Kluyveromyces lactis: one gene and its partners. The protein of the gene in region 1 interacts with the protein of each later gene in a biochemical or structural test. Links are inferred from orthologs where the notes say so. Each region holds a gene or a part of one and is shown in the gene's direction. Other genes may lie near its edges.

Region 1 (4,526 bases):
TCATCTTATTTTCAACTCAGAGATCAGTGCAAGTTCCCTTGTTTGATGCGTGTATTCTTATAATTTGCTGATGCTAATCAGTATCTCCAAGCTTGCAACAATGTATTAAGGTTAGCCTTTGTAGTATTTCGGGCTTCAGCAAACGCTTTTTTCATCAGAAATGAATCAGGATCCATCATCATAGGTAAATGTTTAGCCATGTAGAAAATCACATCAATACCTTTTCTTTTTCGAGGAAAATGCAGTCGTTTCTTTTTAATCAAGATCAGAGTTGTTCCGGGCGGAGAAACTTGCCAAGGTGACGTACGTACCTCAATATTTCTTTCGGAGAAACAACAAGATCAGAATGATCACGTGACCAATTGACCAAAAGATGTGGCTCATTCATAGGAATAAAAACCGTACGCTCTACACTGTACACTACCACGCGTCTTCGCTCACTCCATGGTATACAAGGGTGTTGCTGTCATACCGTCTCGGCTGTTATGCGAAGGTAACGAAATATTTTTTTTTTTTCTTTCGAAAAAAACGTCGACTCAAGCCATCATCACAAACTCGTCCCAGAAGCAACGTACGACTCGCATATTTGCTGAATCTGGCAAATCGCATACCGTAATATCATTAGAATTAGCCCCAAGGCAATTCTTAAGCACTCGAGGGAAAAAAAAAAGATAGAAACGAACATTCACACACAGAAACTTACAGCTGAGAGAAAGAAAGGAAACAGTAGAAAAAAAGAAAAAGCAATGATGAAGTAAGCCTGATTAACATGGTGGTGCGAGCGCCAATGCTTTGCATACTTTACCTGCCTCTGTTCCACTGAAAATCCAACAGAGAAGTGTTTGCAGCAGATAACACGAACACAGACATCAGTTTTTTTTTCCCCGGTCAGGGTGAATTCATCGCCTCCCTCCACTTCGTATTATCACCCCTCGAGTTTTTGATTCGTAATAGAAGAAGGCAAGAATCCTGTGATATTTTATCGTTTCTTCCATGATGCAGGTTGTCAGAGAGAAGATTCTATATGCCAGGAGATAAAATAAAGAGCTACTCCACAGACCTACCTGTACAAGTAGACTCAATGGAGACGTTCATACACAAGAGTAATTAGATATAGGGTAGACATAGTACTAAATAGATACAGCATCTTGACATAAAACTGACGGTTTGCCAAAATGTCGACATTACTGAGAGATTCCGCTAAAAACGCCCGCAGATTCCGTTGAAAAAAAAAAAAAAAAAATTAAAAATAACAAATAAACGTTTGCATTGGTTTTGAAGAAACAGAAAAAAAAAAATTGAAATAAATAAATGTTTAGAATTCTACTAACACGATACTTAAGTTTGATTGTCAACATCTTTGTTGTTTTTTTTGGAGAGAAGGACACAAATAGGTAACGAAGATCTGCGAGAATTATTGGTTCTGTATTTTGATAGTAGGTTATAAACCTGGAACGATTGATCGTACTTTAGCTCAGTGATAATAGCGAGAGCCAGGTTATTTTTTAAGTGTGACGTAAAGGGTTTGTATTTTGGTCTACTAAAAGCAAGAAATATTCAGACTTATAGCCTGGGAAATAGCACGAATACACTCTCACACGCTTGTACTATACTATTTTTCTACTTATAATTTTTTTTCTTTGTGTGCAAAATATAAACAGATTGGATATCCAGGTTTGGATTGTATCGAATAGGTAGGAAACGAAACAGAATTGGCGTTTGATATATGCTGAACGCAATTTCAGGTCCAGCAATGGCAGTCTCGTTACAACAACAGCAACAGCAACAACAACAACAGCAACAGCAGCAACAGCAACATGGATTATTGGGACACCAACATCAGCAGGGCATGTTGCAAGGGTTACCACATACCATGAATGGTGCGGTTGCTGCTTCTCAATTAGCAATGCAACAACCAGGCCAAGCGTCAGAATATGGCAATGAACAGGTACCAGGACAAAGTCAGTTGCCGATAGAGGTACGTCCTCAGGATTTGTTGCCGGTTAAACAGCCTTTGAAGCCTCTAGATCCGTTGTCTCAGTCCACAGCAGAGACCTGGCTGTCCATTGCATCTCTGGCAGAGACTTTGGGCGATGCTGATCTGGCTGCAATGGCATATGATGCGACTTTACAACATAACCCATCGTCGACAAACGCATTGACATCGTTAGCTCATCTATATAGGTCTCGTGATATGTTCCAAAGAGCTGCAGAGCTTTACCAAAGAGCTCTTTCTGCGAACCCAGAGCTGGGCGATATATGGGCTACTCTTGGCCATTGTTATCTAATGCTTGATGAATTACAAAACGCATATGCAGCTTATCAACAAGCCCTTTATCATCTATCAAACCCAAACATACCGAAACTATGGCATGGAATAGGTATTCTATACGACCGTTATGGATCTTTGGATTACGCAGAGGAAGCATTTGCCAAGGTTTTGGAACTTGACCCACAATTCGAAAAGGCAAATGAAATTTATTTCAGGTTGGGTATCATTTACAAACATCAGGGGAAATGGAATCAAGCCTTGGAATGCTTCCGTTATATCCTGCCTCAACCTCCTGCTCCGTTACAAGAATGGGATGTCTGGTTCCAATTGGGTAGTGTTTTAGAGTCAATGGGTGAATGGCAGGGAGCTAGGGACGCGTATGAACATATCATATCACAGAACGACCGCCATGCAAAAGTCTTACAACAGCTCGGTTGCCTATACGGTATGAATAATGTATCATTTTATGACCCACAGAAGGCTCTAAATTTACTTCTCAAATCTTTGGAAATCGATTCTACTGATGCTACTTCGTGGTACCATTTGGGTAGAATTCATATGATCAGAAATGATTACACCTCTGCATATGATGCCTTCCAACAAGCCGTTAACCGCGACTCAAGAAACCCAACATTCTGGTGTTCCATAGGTGTATTATACTACCAGATTGCTCAATATCGTGACGCCCTAGACGCTTACACCAGAGCAATCAGATTGAATCCTTATATCAGTGAAGTGTGGTACGATTTAGGTACTCTATATGAAACTTGCAACAATCAGGTCAATGATGCATTGGATGCATACAAACAGGCTGCAAGGTTGGACCCTAACAACGTTCATATTAGGGAAAGGTTAGACGCCCTCACTGCTCAAATAATGAATCAACACCAATCGGGCGAACAGCAACAACAGCAACAACAGCAACAGCAACAACAGCAACAACAGCAACAACAGCAACAGCAACAGCAACAGCAACAGCAGCAACAACAGAAGATTGAATACAATCAGCAGCCTGCTCTTCCTTTACCATCTCAATTACAGCAACCCCAACAACCAAACCAACAGCCACAACAACCAGTGATGTTACAACCAATGCTGCAAAACAACACACAAATGTTCAATCCTCTGAATGACAAGCAACAAAATGGCCAGGAGCAACAATATGCTGTCCAACAGTTCCAACAACAGCAACCTATTCAGCACACTAATATGCCACCGGTTCTTCAAAGAGTTGATCAGCAGCATCCACAAGTTGTGCAGCTACTGCATCAACAGCAACAACAAGACCACGAACATCCACAACAATATCAGCAATCCCTGCAAACTCAACAACAACTACCACCACCACAAACCCAGCAGGTGCAACAAGGACAGCAAGGACAGCAAGGGCAGCAAGGACAGCAAGGATACCAAAATGGACAGGAACAATCGCTTCAAAATACCACACAAGCCTCCCAGGTCACACAAGCTCAACAAATCCCTCCGCCACCCCAAGTGCAACAAACCATTCCTCAAAAGAGACCTTTGGAGGGGGGAATGGATACATTGTTCAACGCTATCTCACAACAAGAGCAGGAGCAACAGAAGCAAAAGGAGGCGGAACAGCAGCAAACGACAGCACCACAAGTCACGACACCCCAAGTTACGAACACCGTACATAGTACACCTTCCGAGCCAAAAGTCGAACCTAATGATAACAACCTTGGCATCGTCAACGATACAAACAGCACCATTGCACCAGCTACGCAAAATGCTGACACAACTACCATCGTACCAGCAGAAGGAAAGCAAGAGTCTGTACAAGTTACTGAGGCTGAGGGACAGCAACCACAAGAATCTCAGGCACCTGCTGGTGAACCTGAAGCACCAACCTCAGAAGCTAACGTTGTTGAAAACACAAGTGCCACCGAGAATCATAATGGAGCAGAACCTGCAGTAGCTAAACCTGAGATAACGGAGCAACACGCCATTGACACTCCTGCTGCAAATAACCTACTCAAAGATGGCTTCTCTGACAGTCAACAAAAGATTAATGGAGCCCAGAATAAAGATGCCTCCTCTGAAACTGTCGTTGAGCCTGTTACGAAGAAACAAAAACTGGATACGGAAGAAACCGTAATCAAGCCAAGTGCTGATGCAATTGAAAGCATAAAGGAGCAGGAGAAGATTCGCCAAGAGGAGGAGAATGAAACTCTGGAAAAAGTCGAAAAGAGTGCGGAATCCATTCCAAAGGAAAAAGTTGTGAGACAAGTCG
Region 2 (4,531 bases), on another chromosome or scaffold:
GCCGCTCTCTGTTTCGAAACAACCGTGAGATCAACTGTGGTTCAAGTTCTCAACACAGAACAAGTAAGAAAAAAAAGAAATGGGAAAAGGTCCCTCGAGAGGAAGAATGCTGAAAAGGCAGAGAAGGAACCTCAGAGCAAAGTCCGCCCTTTATCATAAATCGGCGGTCTTTTCTTACAACAGAGATCCCAGTGGGGCGGCTCGAACGACGGAAAAAATTTCGAACGATTTAACCGTGAACGCATGCCTGTCCCTAAATTGTAGGACGTTTTCCTCGATTTAAATTCCAAATCACTGAGCGATACCGCTGACAGCACTGGAATTATGCTACTCTTAAGTTATATTTTTCCCTTCGCTCACGTGATTCTAGGAAGATAGTAAATACACTGTGCCGTTTGTTGAGCTACAGCGTGAACAGTAGGAAATGTACTTCCACTACGGGCTGACTAAGTCCACGCTCGAAGGAATAAAAATCACTTCGAGTGTCTTATGTTTTTCTTTTCTATCAAAACGACAAGTACGATAAAAAAACCGGCATGAAAATCGAGTAGTGGTTATCAGAATGAACATTGCAGGACCCGCGCTGAACCCAAAAGTCGACTTTCTTGATTCTTAATTGTAATCTGACTCTTTGAATGCTTTGAGCTTCGAAATTCCTTTTTTTTTTCTTTCATATTTAATAGTGAAAGTATTGAATCCTCGAGAAACTGAAAAATTATACAACCATATAATTAATACACACTGAGCCGTATCTGATTGAGTCAGATCTAAGTGATTGGAAACGAGTAAGGTTTGTAGGACTCTAGTTTCGGATATCCAGTTTTTTGAGTGTTGTATCGTTCCAAGGCGGATTGTAGGTCCTGTCTGTTGTGTTTTTAGTTCTTTCGTTTTTTTTTTGAAAGAGAGTTGTGTGTGTTTTCTTTTTTGAGTTGACAATCAGTGGTACATCTAATCTTTCTTTGGCAACATTCCTCATTCTTGGGTTGTGTGTGAGTATCGGAACTATCAGTTTGGAATTGATATATTTATTGCAAAATTATACACAGTGCATACCTCTTCAGCGACTCTAGAGTTCAATTTTTCATTCCTGCTCTTGTCAAGTGCTCATAAGAAAAAAAGAATCACTAAAACATTCATTTGATCACTTCGATTGCTTCTGGGTGTAATTCCTTCATTCTGTCTTAGTTCTAGCTCTCACGATACTGTTGAATCAGCTAAAGTAGGGTTTTTGACCTTCAGTTCATTGTACATCATCCATCATTTTGTTGGAAGTCATTCCTTACTGTGTACATATTGAGAATCAAAAAAATAAAGTATTACTTACCTAAAGAGTGACGATAGAATATACATCATCTCAGTGCGGAGTGTGAGTAAGAATCAAAACTAAAATTGAGATTACAATTGAGGGTTCGATGTCGTCTCAACAGGACCAGTGGGTTAATCACCATAATACTCTATTGCAATTAGCTTCAGCTTCAGCTAATTCCCCTATGATTCCAAGACCAGAATCTTCCCAATCAAACATAAATCTTTCCTCATCTAATTCGACCGCCCAATTACAACATATACTGCAACATTCGTTATACCCTCCTCCTCCAGCCGCTATGGCACATTTACACAATGGTACTACTGTCAATAATGGTAATGGCTCTACTTCCTCAAATATGCAATTCACTCAGGGTTTCTTACCTAATCCACTACCTCCCATCAACGATCACCAATTAGCAGGTGGGCAGTCAAGTCCTCAAACTTCTCAAGGTCACCAACAACAGCACCAGCAGCACCAGCAACAAAATATGATGAGATCAATCACTCCTCTGTCAGTAATATCACCTAACGGAGTTGTTTCTGCACTTCCGAACCAAGTCCTGCATTATCAACATATGCAAGATATGCATCTACAGCAGCAGCAGCAGCAGCATCAGCAACATCAACAACATCAACAACATCAACAACATCAACAACATCAACAACATCAACAACATCAACAACATCAACAACATCAACAACATCAACATCAACAACATCAACATCAACAACATCAACATCAACAACAGCAGCAACAGCAACAGTTCATTTTACAAGACCAAGACCAACGCTGGAAAAAACAGAAAGTTGACGAAGCTATGCAGCCTGTACGGACGGGTGCTGCTGTGACTTCGAAAAGAACAACCCAGGAGAATATCTTAAAATTAGTAGCAATGAAGAACAAAGATAAGCCCTTGAGCGAATATGCTTCTGTAGTTAGAAATGCTGAAATCCAAGTACTCAACATGGATACCTCTACGCATGCCAAATCTGAAATTCAATCGGCAGAACAGCACAGAGAACGCGAGAGGCAAGTGTATGCCTTAATATGGCTAATGAGCAACTGTGTGACAGACACTGAATCTTACGTCCGCCGCGGTAGGATTTTTGCCCAATACGCGGCGTCTTGTGCTCAAAACCAGTTGAAACCCTTATCTCAGGCCACTCTTGGTAAATTGATCAGAGCCTTGTTCCCATTCTTGAAAACAAGAAGATTGGGTATGAGAGGACAATCAAAGTACCATTACTGTGGACTCAAGCTTGTTTCTCCTTTCGCTACTTCTTCAGATTTAACACCGACAGGGTCGTCGAATAGTGACACGTCAAGTGCAATGTTGTCTACCAGTGGGACAACTTCAAGTCATTCAAATAATGAAAATTCAATATCTTTGAAGTATGAGGGTGATTCTCAGCATTCTATAGACTCACAATCCGATCATAGCAATGGAATAAAATCCATACAGCCAAATGCCATGTTGGGGAAACAATCTTCGGTAAGTGATCCATTAAACCAGTTATCCGAAGATATTTCATTGGACGTGACAGGAAATATTCAAGGACATGATGCTGGTGTTAAACCGGTATTATCGGCTGAAACAAGTTTTAATACGTGTTATGATGAAGGATACGCTTTACTACCAGATTTCTTCGCAGTAACATCAGAAGCCAAAGTGGAACTACCTATTGAATTTCCAGACTTGCAAAAGTTTTTACCGGTAAATCAGTCAGTTGATCCTGATATTGCTTCCAGTGTTAACTCCCTATACCAAGTTTATTGTAATACTTTGTTTGAAAATATACGGTTCATGAAGTTTGATGATCTTCCATTAACATTGCAATCATTTTCATCGAGTTCAATATCATCAAAAATGTACAACTTGTTTATTTCTGAAGAATTGTACAGATGGGTTCATCAATCAGACCTACTTACTCACAAGGCTCTGACCAAGATGCTTTCGAGTTTGATTGTTGACTTCAACGAAATTCCAGAGGTTGTGTTCAACAAATTGTCAGACTTTTCAAATGAGTATATGAAGATGGTTGAGCAATCTACCATGGATTTACCATTACCGATGGTAACCTTCAAAAAGAGTGTGGCACAGGCGTTTTGCCGTCTTGTGAAAAGGCTCGTGAAAGTGATTGACAACAGCAAGAAATTATCAAATATCATGAGTAAGCAAGAGAATAGATTATCAATGTTATACGTCTGGGAACAGAACGTTAAAGTGTCCGAACTAATAAACCAAGAGTTTTCTTACTTCAACCACCCTGCTTTAGAAAAAGATATGCAAGAACTCTTTTCAGTGCAGTTATTGGAACTTCTTAAGAAAACGGATGAGGATTTTGATCTAATCTCTTTCGTTAAAATGGTTTTCGGAGTGCTTTCAAACAAGAGTCTACCTCCTAGATTACTAGTATTGACTTTCAATTCTTTCACCGCTGCTTGTACGAAAGAAATATTAACGAACTCAAACGAAAATTTTGGATTGTGGTGGATGTTCAAGGCCTTTCTAGATGAATGGATCTTTTGGTATGCCGAAGTTGGAGGATTCCTCAAAGATTGAACCTCTGAACTTTAATTTTGATAGATTGTTTTTCTACGCTAAAGTTACCTTTCCCACTAAGAATATTACTCTTTAAACCTACTCCATCTCCTATTCGTTGTTTTGTTTTTGTTTTTCTTGTTTAAATTCGATTTACCTGCCTTTATTACCATTCGTTATCGTTTCTATTCCTTTAATCTATTATTCTATTCAGAAACGAATAAAAAAACGAAAATTGGACTTGTTTTCCCATCTAATTGAACCATTCCTAATCTTCCCATTAATTTTGTATCTATTACCATACCCATTCTTGCATTTACGTGGTAATTGTCGTTCTGCTCTTTTCCTTTTCATGATCATTAATTGTACTATTGTTTTTGGACCTGTCAATTCATTCGACGACTCAAGTGAGCTCCAAAACGAATGCCACAACCAACTTCTGATCCTGGCGAAACTTTCCAGTATCATCGCAGGTCATCTTTATATATATCTAAGTGTTGAAAGTAAATAAGAGTTTTGATATCCATAGTTTTGATCTTTTTATTAAATTACTACATCAACGAAACCACAATAAAATGCTATGTCGCATATCCCTTCTTTAGAGATATTGATTAAAGTTTCATACATCGTTAAGAGCAACACAAACAGCACCTTTGTGATGTCCTCCATACTGCCTTACA
Region 3 (3,514 bases), on another chromosome or scaffold:
GCGGTTATTTTTTTTTTCCCTCTCTGGTTATGGCTTTAACAACACTTTTTCCATTTTCATTCATTTGTCTGTTTTCCTAACAATATGGAAGGAAAATGACGAGGCATGTAAAATCTCCGATAATGAACATCGTTCAGTCGGTATCATGCGTGTCATTCTTAACCCTTTTACCATGAGTAAGAATGTGTATATACTAGCCATGGCGATCATTTGCTAGACGGTTAGATTCCCCTAGATCTTAGCGAGCTTTGGGTAGAAAAAATGGATTGGGGAAAAAAGTGCATCCTGTAGTTTCTCCGTGAAATCAATCCGGATAAACACTTTTCCCGCTTTTCTCACGTTTTATTTACTTTGACGGAAAAATTTTTAATCTCGGGAGAGTCTCTTCCGAAATTCCCCTCGAACATGAAATGACGCAGGAGAAAGTTTTCCCTAGATGGAGCAAAGCAAGTCAAGCTAAAGAGATTGCTGTGGTATTCGGGACTACTTTATTAAAGTGGGTAGAGGGGGGAAAGCTTCAAACAGAGCAAAGATGTATAACCTGTTAACACCCAGGTTAGCCAGGAACCTTCCACGTTTGCAACTTCTCTTTTACGTTTTTTAATGAGCGAAATATTCAGGTTTTTCCGTGGTGCAGTAAATACCCCGTACAAATTGTTTTTTTTTTAGTTTTTGGCTTTTTTTTCCCGAGGATATATTTGTTTTCTGTCGTCCCTACGGAGGAATCTGTACAAGGATATAGGCTAAAACTGGAAATGAAGAAGTACAGCATCTATTGAGGTCTCATTGTCTCAGTAGCACTCTGTGAACAGCCCACATTATGTTTTTCTCCTGTTTCTTTCTCCGTCCCAGTAAAATGCTAGCATTATACTGGAAAAAAAAAAGCGTCCGGGGTTGACAAGTGATTCGTCTTAGCATTGCCTAACAGATTCGGTTTTTTGTGGTTAAAAAAAAACTAATATATATGGTTTGAGGTATTCTTGTCACTTTCTGAGATTTTGTTAAACTTCACACGTCAACCATAGCGGTGTTCATCGATAGTCGTATTATTTGGACTTCCTTTGTGAAACGAAGCAATTTTGTGGCTTCAAGAATCAGTTATTTTATCCTGAAATCTACGTAATCCTCTCCAGTCTAATCTGCCTTTTTCTGAAGATTCTCGGAGGTAAAAAAGAAATTCAGCAAAACATTTCTGATATTGGGTTCATCGATATTGTAAATATTGTGTGAGACTATCTTAGTTTAAACGGGGAAGTCAGTACGACGTTTTCAAGCCAAGTTTGTAAGGTTGAAGATATTGCATTCCCAAAAACACACAAAATAAAAAGACACGATACTGGATTCATCAAGTGATCTGCTGGAGTTTTACAAACCTATCATTTCAGCTTATACTTCCGTTTGTTTGACCATATCACGGGTCTTTCTGCTGTAATACTTCAAGGCAAGCTTCCATATTATTTTGGTTTTTGGTCTTGTTATTTGGTGACTGATACGAAAGGAATCTGGAACTTATAGCACCAATGACAGAGGCGATTATAGAGAAAAAAAATCATAAGAAGTCTATCAATGATCATGACAAGGATGGACCAAGGCCTTACGTCTGTCCCATATGTCAAAGGGGATTCCATCGACTGGAACATCAGACTAGGCACATCAGAACACACACTGGGGAAAGACCGCATGCATGTGATTTCCCGGGATGTTCAAAACGCTTTAGTAGAAGCGATGAACTAACAAGACATAGAAGGATACATGACAGTGATAAACCAAAGGGGAAAAGAGGAAGGAAAAAGAAGAGTGAGACGATAGCTCGTGAAAAGGAATTAGAATTGCAGCGGCAAAAACAACGAAACGCAAACGACTCTGCGGCTGTTGATTCTGCTGGTGGAACGAGCGCTAATGTCATAGAACCAAACCACAAACTTCTGAAATCCACTAATTCGATTAAACAAGATGGTTCAACATTTACTGAACCTCTGAAATCGTTGAGGTCGAAGCCAATGTTTGATCTCGGTAGCGATGAATCGGATGAATGCGGTATATATAGTGTCCCACCTATTAGATCTCAGAATAATAGTGGTAACATAGACCTTCTGCTGAATGCTGCAAAATTTGAGTCTGACAAAGCCTCATCCTCTTTCAAATTTATTGATAAACTACCGTTGACTTCATCTTCATCCTCTCCGTCACTTTCGTTTACATCTCATTCAATCAACAACAGCAGTAGCGGACTATTGTTACCAAGACCAGCTTCACGTGCTAAGCTTTCTGCTTTATCATCATTACAAAGAATGACACCCTTGTCTCAAAATTCAGAGTCATATAATCATTCGCAACAGAATCTAGTACATCTTCACCATCCCGCACCCAACCGACCATTGACCGAGTTTGTTGATAACGAGTATATAAGTAACGGTCTGCCTAGAACCAGATCGTGGACAAATCTGTCGGAACAGCAATCACCATCGGGCTTCAGCTCCTCTGCACTTAACTCCAGATTCTCGTCATCCAATAGTCTCAACCAACTGATAGATCAACATTCAAGAAATTCAAGTACTGTAAGCATATCTACTCTACTGAAGCAAGAAACCGTAATCTCACAAGATGAGGATATGAGTACAGAAGATGCATATGGCCGGCCACTTAAGAAATCAAAAGCCATAATGCCCATCATGAGACCTAGTTCTACAATGCCACCAAGTTCCGGCTCAGCTACAGAAGGAGAATTTTATGATGAACTTCATTCAAGGCTTAGATCGATGGATCAACTGCCGGTAAGGAACAGTAAGGACGAAAAAGATTACTATTTCCAAAGTCATTTTTCAAGTTTACTGTGCACTCCAACGCACAGTCCTCCACCGGAAGGATTGTTACCCAGTTTGAATCAGAATAAGCCAGTGCAGTTGCCATCACTTCGAAGCTTAGACCTTTTACCACCAAAATAATGACTACTAATGAAAATGGACAGAAATGTAAGCGCACCGTCTCTTCATCGATCAATGTATTATATTAACTCAAGATATAAAACTTTCACGCATAATGAATATAGAATTTTACTAGCTCTTGTCCATCAATTATATATCATTTCATCTTAGCATTCTATTGACAATAACCATCCAAAATAGACTTTGTAAAGTTTTCAGAGAACCTGAAGCTTGCGATCACCGAAGATATTCTGTGTTCAGGATACTGGTTGTCATGCTCGTCTGAGGAAAAACATCTTTCCATGAAGATATCACGTGATATGTTTGATATTCAAAGTTTTTAAAGGCTTTAAACTGCAATAGTATCAATCAATTTAAAGGTTGCGTGATAGGAGCTGATGCAACCTTAGTAGCAGGTCGAACCAGTTGATTTTATGAACTGACCTAATCGCACGTGGTACACTTATGAATGCAGAAAACAATAAGAGACGCCCAGAAGACGAAAATGTCTCTGTAGAGGAGGCTGCTACCTTGAAAAAAGTTAAGAATTTACATACGCATAACCGCGAATATACCACTGTTTTAGTTAA
Region 4 (3,665 bases), on another chromosome or scaffold:
CGCTGCATTGCTCTTGCGTTAGTGGGTCTAAATTCTATTTATATTGGATATATACCACATATCTTAGCCCATAAAGCTGTATCCAGGAGTTTATTACCTTCCATAAGCTTTTTGTTTCTTAATATACCAAAGCACATTCAGCAAGCACGCACCACCCAATATGAGCGCAGTAGGGTCTATATTGACGAAATTCGTTTCGCTTTTATTTTTAATGGGTTCAACCATGTTGTTGATATTCATCGTTTTATCCGGTAGTATCGAACATAGTCCAGTTAATGAGTTTTACTGGTTACAAGCAGACACTTCGAACATTACCGGTGCTCCAGCGCTGTCCAGATGGACTTTCTGGGGTCTCTGTGGTGTCTCAGGTAACAAGAACGTCAACTGTTCTTCTTTGGAACCAGCTTATCCGTTATCACCAGTTGATGATTTCGGTACTACAGAGGGATTCCCCTCCGATTTCGTTAACAACAGAGACACCTACTATTATTTGACCAGGTTCTCATTCTGTTTCTTTTTGATTGCTTTAGTTTTCATCGGTGTCGGATTAATCTTTTACGTCTTGTCCTGGTGTTCTTACAGTTTCACCAAGACGGTGTTTGTGACCATTGTTATCGGTACTCTATTGAACATGGCTGCCAGTGCGTGTCAAACGGCTGCTACGGTGTTGGCCAAAAACGCTTTCAAAGACGCCGATGTCTCTGTGGATATCGGTGTGAAATTGATGGCGTTCTCTTGGACTACGGTAGCGTTGAACATTATGCTTTTCTTCATTACCGGTGCCTCTTTCATCAGAAAGGCTTACAAGGCTCATAAGGAATTTGTCGAATTGCAAAATTACAAGGAACAAGCGTTGAGTTACGAGCAACAACAACAGCAGTTGCAATTCCAACAGCAGCAGCAACAACAAGATTTGGAAGCTACCGGTGCTGGTACTGCCATCGATGAGCCCCAGCCACAAGAATCTCACCAGACCGGTATCAAGTTCTTCAAGATTAGAAGAACTCAAAAATCTGATGAAGAATCGATTTGAGAGGTGATAGGTGATTAGCGGGGGGAGATGAAAAGTGTTACAACGTTTGTCTCGCACCCTGTAACCTTATACTATTGAACAAACCAACTAAAACAAAAAAAAAAACTACTATCAACAAAACTTCGAGCTTTAACCCAAGTTATCAATTGTTTAAAATGACTCTAAATTTCTAATACCCTTATTCTTTCTATTCTTCTTCTTCTTTTTAACTATATCTACTTATATTCTATTAAATATCACATTTACGTTTGTATTACATGACTACTCTTGTCAACCAGGACGTTAGTGGTCCATAACCTCAGGTTCAGCCGGCTCATAGTCTTCCGAATCGTACATTATTCATCGCTCGGACCTCTCCATTCCGTTATTTTATCCACTCTTTGTTCCTCTCAATTCAAGAATTATTCACTTTAACCACTTCAACGAAATCAAATAAAACTCCGTCGAATCAGTACAGTCAGGAATCACCACCCTGGACACTCCCTTCCATTGTGTTTGTGTTTGTGTTTGTACTTTCATTCATTGTCCCTTTTTGACAATATAAAGGTTAAACAGAGAGCTATAGTATATCTTGGGACAATTGTGATTTAGTCACTTTGAAAGTGTTATTATTTGATCCAGTGTACACAATATCTCGGCAGGACGGCATCATGAACAATAACAAACGGTCCAAATTATCCACGGTGCCATCGAGTAGACCGATCCGTGTTGGTTTCGTTGGGTTAACCAGTGGTAAAAGTTGGGTTGCCAAGACGCATTTCTTAGCCATACAGCAGCTCAGTTCACAGTTCCAGATAGTGGCCTTGTACAACCCTACTTTGAAATCGAGTCTTCAGACCATTGAACAGTTGCAATTGAAACATGCTACAGGGTTTGATTCGTTGGAATCTTTTGCTCAGTATAAAGATATCGATATGATCGTTGTTAGTGTAAAAGTGCCAGAGCATTACGAGGTGGTCAAGAATATATTGGAACATTCGTCCCAGAACCTGAATCTAAGGTATTTGTACGTGGAATGGGCTCTTGCTGCAAGCGTACAACAGGCAGAAGAGTTGTATTCGATATCTCAGCAGCGTGCCAATTTACAAACGATCATATGTCTCCAAGGACGTAAATCGCCATACATCGTTCGGGCCAAAGAGTTAATCAGCGAAGGTTGTATCGGAGACATCAATTCCATCGAGATATCGGGCAACGGTGGTTGGTATGGGTATGAACGTCCAATGAGATCGCCGGAGTATTTGTACGACATCGAGAGCGGTGTGAATTTGATATCGAATTCGTTCGGACACACGATCGATGTATTACAGTACATCACAGGGTCGTATTTCCAAAAGATCAATGCGATGATCTCAAACAATATCCCAACTCAGTTCCTATTGGATGAGAATGGGAAACGGACCAAGGAAACAATTTCAAAGACGTGCCCAGACCATCTTTTATTCCAGGGAATATTGGAAAATGGGAAGGTACCCGTATCTTGCAGCTTTAAAGGTGGTACTCCAGTGAAGAAATTGACCAAGAACCTGGTAATAGATATACACGGTACTAAAGGTGACTTGAAGATCGAGGGTGATGCAGGTTTTGTGGAGATATCGAACCTTGTGCTCTATTTCTACGGTATCAAGAATGGGAACGGTAGCAGCAATGGAACTGACAACAATGGAGCTGCTGCCATAAAAGACAAGGAAAAAGTAACTAAATCACCTTCTCCAAGTACAGGTACTTCGGAAGAGGAACAAACCATGGAAGTGTTTCATCTAAGGAACTATAATAGCGTTGTTGGAAACATACTACGAATCTACGAATCCATTGCCGATTACCATTTCCTTGGGAAACCTGAGTCCAAATCATCACGCGGTCCCGATGACTTGTTCGCAAGCACGAAATTTGATAAGCAAGGGTTCAGATTCGAAGGATTCCCCACATTCAAAGATGCCATCATATTGCACCGGCTAATAGATGCGGTGTTCAGAAGCGACAAAGAGGAAAAGACTCTTGACGTGTCGAAAATAATGATATAAATAAACTTCAAATCTATGTATCCATACCATCCTACGTATTTATGATCTTAATGTTGCCATGTCCTCTCTTTCACAACAACTAGGATCTTGTTATCATCAACATTTGCTGATTTTAATTAAAGACTTGTTGCGCATTTAAATCTTTAAATCGGGAATCCGTTATGGCTTGCTTACGTACGAAACGGCTTCGCAAATAAGGAAATTGAAGGAAAAGAGCACATCTAAACTTCGAAGAAAAGCTCATCCATATCCAGTTCCTGACAGCTTCCACAGCAACCTTCCCATGAAAACTCAAACCAGCATCAACTTCGAGGTCTCTTGTCATATATAATAGACCTTCCATTCTTTATATTCAAATTCAATTGAATTACATTTAAGGCGAACGAATCGAAGAACCAAAAAAGGTCAACAACCAAAGGCTCAGAGTGCTATGAACTTGTACTCATATTCAAGAATAATAAAATTCCCTGGGCATAATGCATTGGTGTTGAAACGTCTTTTCCATAGGCCGTACCAGTTTAAATCGGTTCCTGATGATATAAAGAACAATTTAGTCACTGAATGTGAATGCTTCGTAAAGAGGTTGAATGAAAAGTTACCAGACAAGA

What was found.
Region 2: the proteins of CYC8 (region 1) and RFX1 form a complex in vitro, tested with the Saccharomyces cerevisiae proteins (2 studies listed by BioGRID). The link is inferred for Kluyveromyces lactis from reciprocal best matches to the Saccharomyces cerevisiae genes CYC8 and RFX1.
Region 3: the proteins of CYC8 (region 1) and MIG1 form a complex in vitro, tested with the Saccharomyces cerevisiae proteins (2 studies listed by BioGRID). The link is inferred for Kluyveromyces lactis from reciprocal best matches to the Saccharomyces cerevisiae genes CYC8 and MIG1.
Region 4: the proteins of CYC8 (region 1) and GAL80 form a complex in vitro, tested with the Saccharomyces cerevisiae proteins (2 studies listed by BioGRID). The link is inferred for Kluyveromyces lactis from reciprocal best matches to the Saccharomyces cerevisiae genes CYC8 and GAL80.

The regions. Positions count from the first base shown.
Region 1 is NC_006038.1:812,577-817,102, forward strand, and holds the start of CYC8 (transcription regulator CYC8), read left to right. Parts: upstream 1-1,726; coding exon 1,727-4,526. UniProt on the Saccharomyces cerevisiae protein: Acts as a component of the CYC8-TUP1 corepressor complex which is involved in the repression of many genes in a wide variety of physiological processes including heme-regulated and catabolite repressed genes.
Region 2 is NC_006040.1:414,213-418,743, reverse strand, and holds RFX1 (Rfx1p), read left to right. Parts: upstream 1-1,412; coding exon 1,413-3,872; downstream 3,873-4,531. Other genes in the region: TOR complex subunit LST8, read right to left, coding at 4,471-4,531.
Region 3 is NC_006041.1:965,285-968,798, forward strand, and holds MIG1 (transcription factor MIG1), read left to right. Parts: upstream 1-1,520; coding exon 1,521-2,945; downstream 2,946-3,514. Other genes in the region: U6 snRNP complex subunit PRP24, read left to right, coding at 3,390-3,514. UniProt on the Saccharomyces cerevisiae protein: Involved in glucose repression of the SUC, GAL and MAL genes as well as of the CAT8 gene. Binds to two sites in the upstream region of SUC2.
Region 4 is NC_006037.1:726,808-730,472, reverse strand, and holds GAL80 (transcription regulator GAL80), read left to right. Parts: upstream 1-1,683; coding exon 1,684-3,057; downstream 3,058-3,665. Other genes in the region: SUR7 (Sur7p), read left to right, coding at 161-1,033; AIM32 (Aim32p), read left to right, coding at 3,488-3,665. UniProt on the Saccharomyces cerevisiae protein: This protein is a negative regulator for the gene expression of the lactose/galactose metabolic genes. It binds to GAL4 and so blocks transcriptional activation by it, in the absence of an inducing sugar.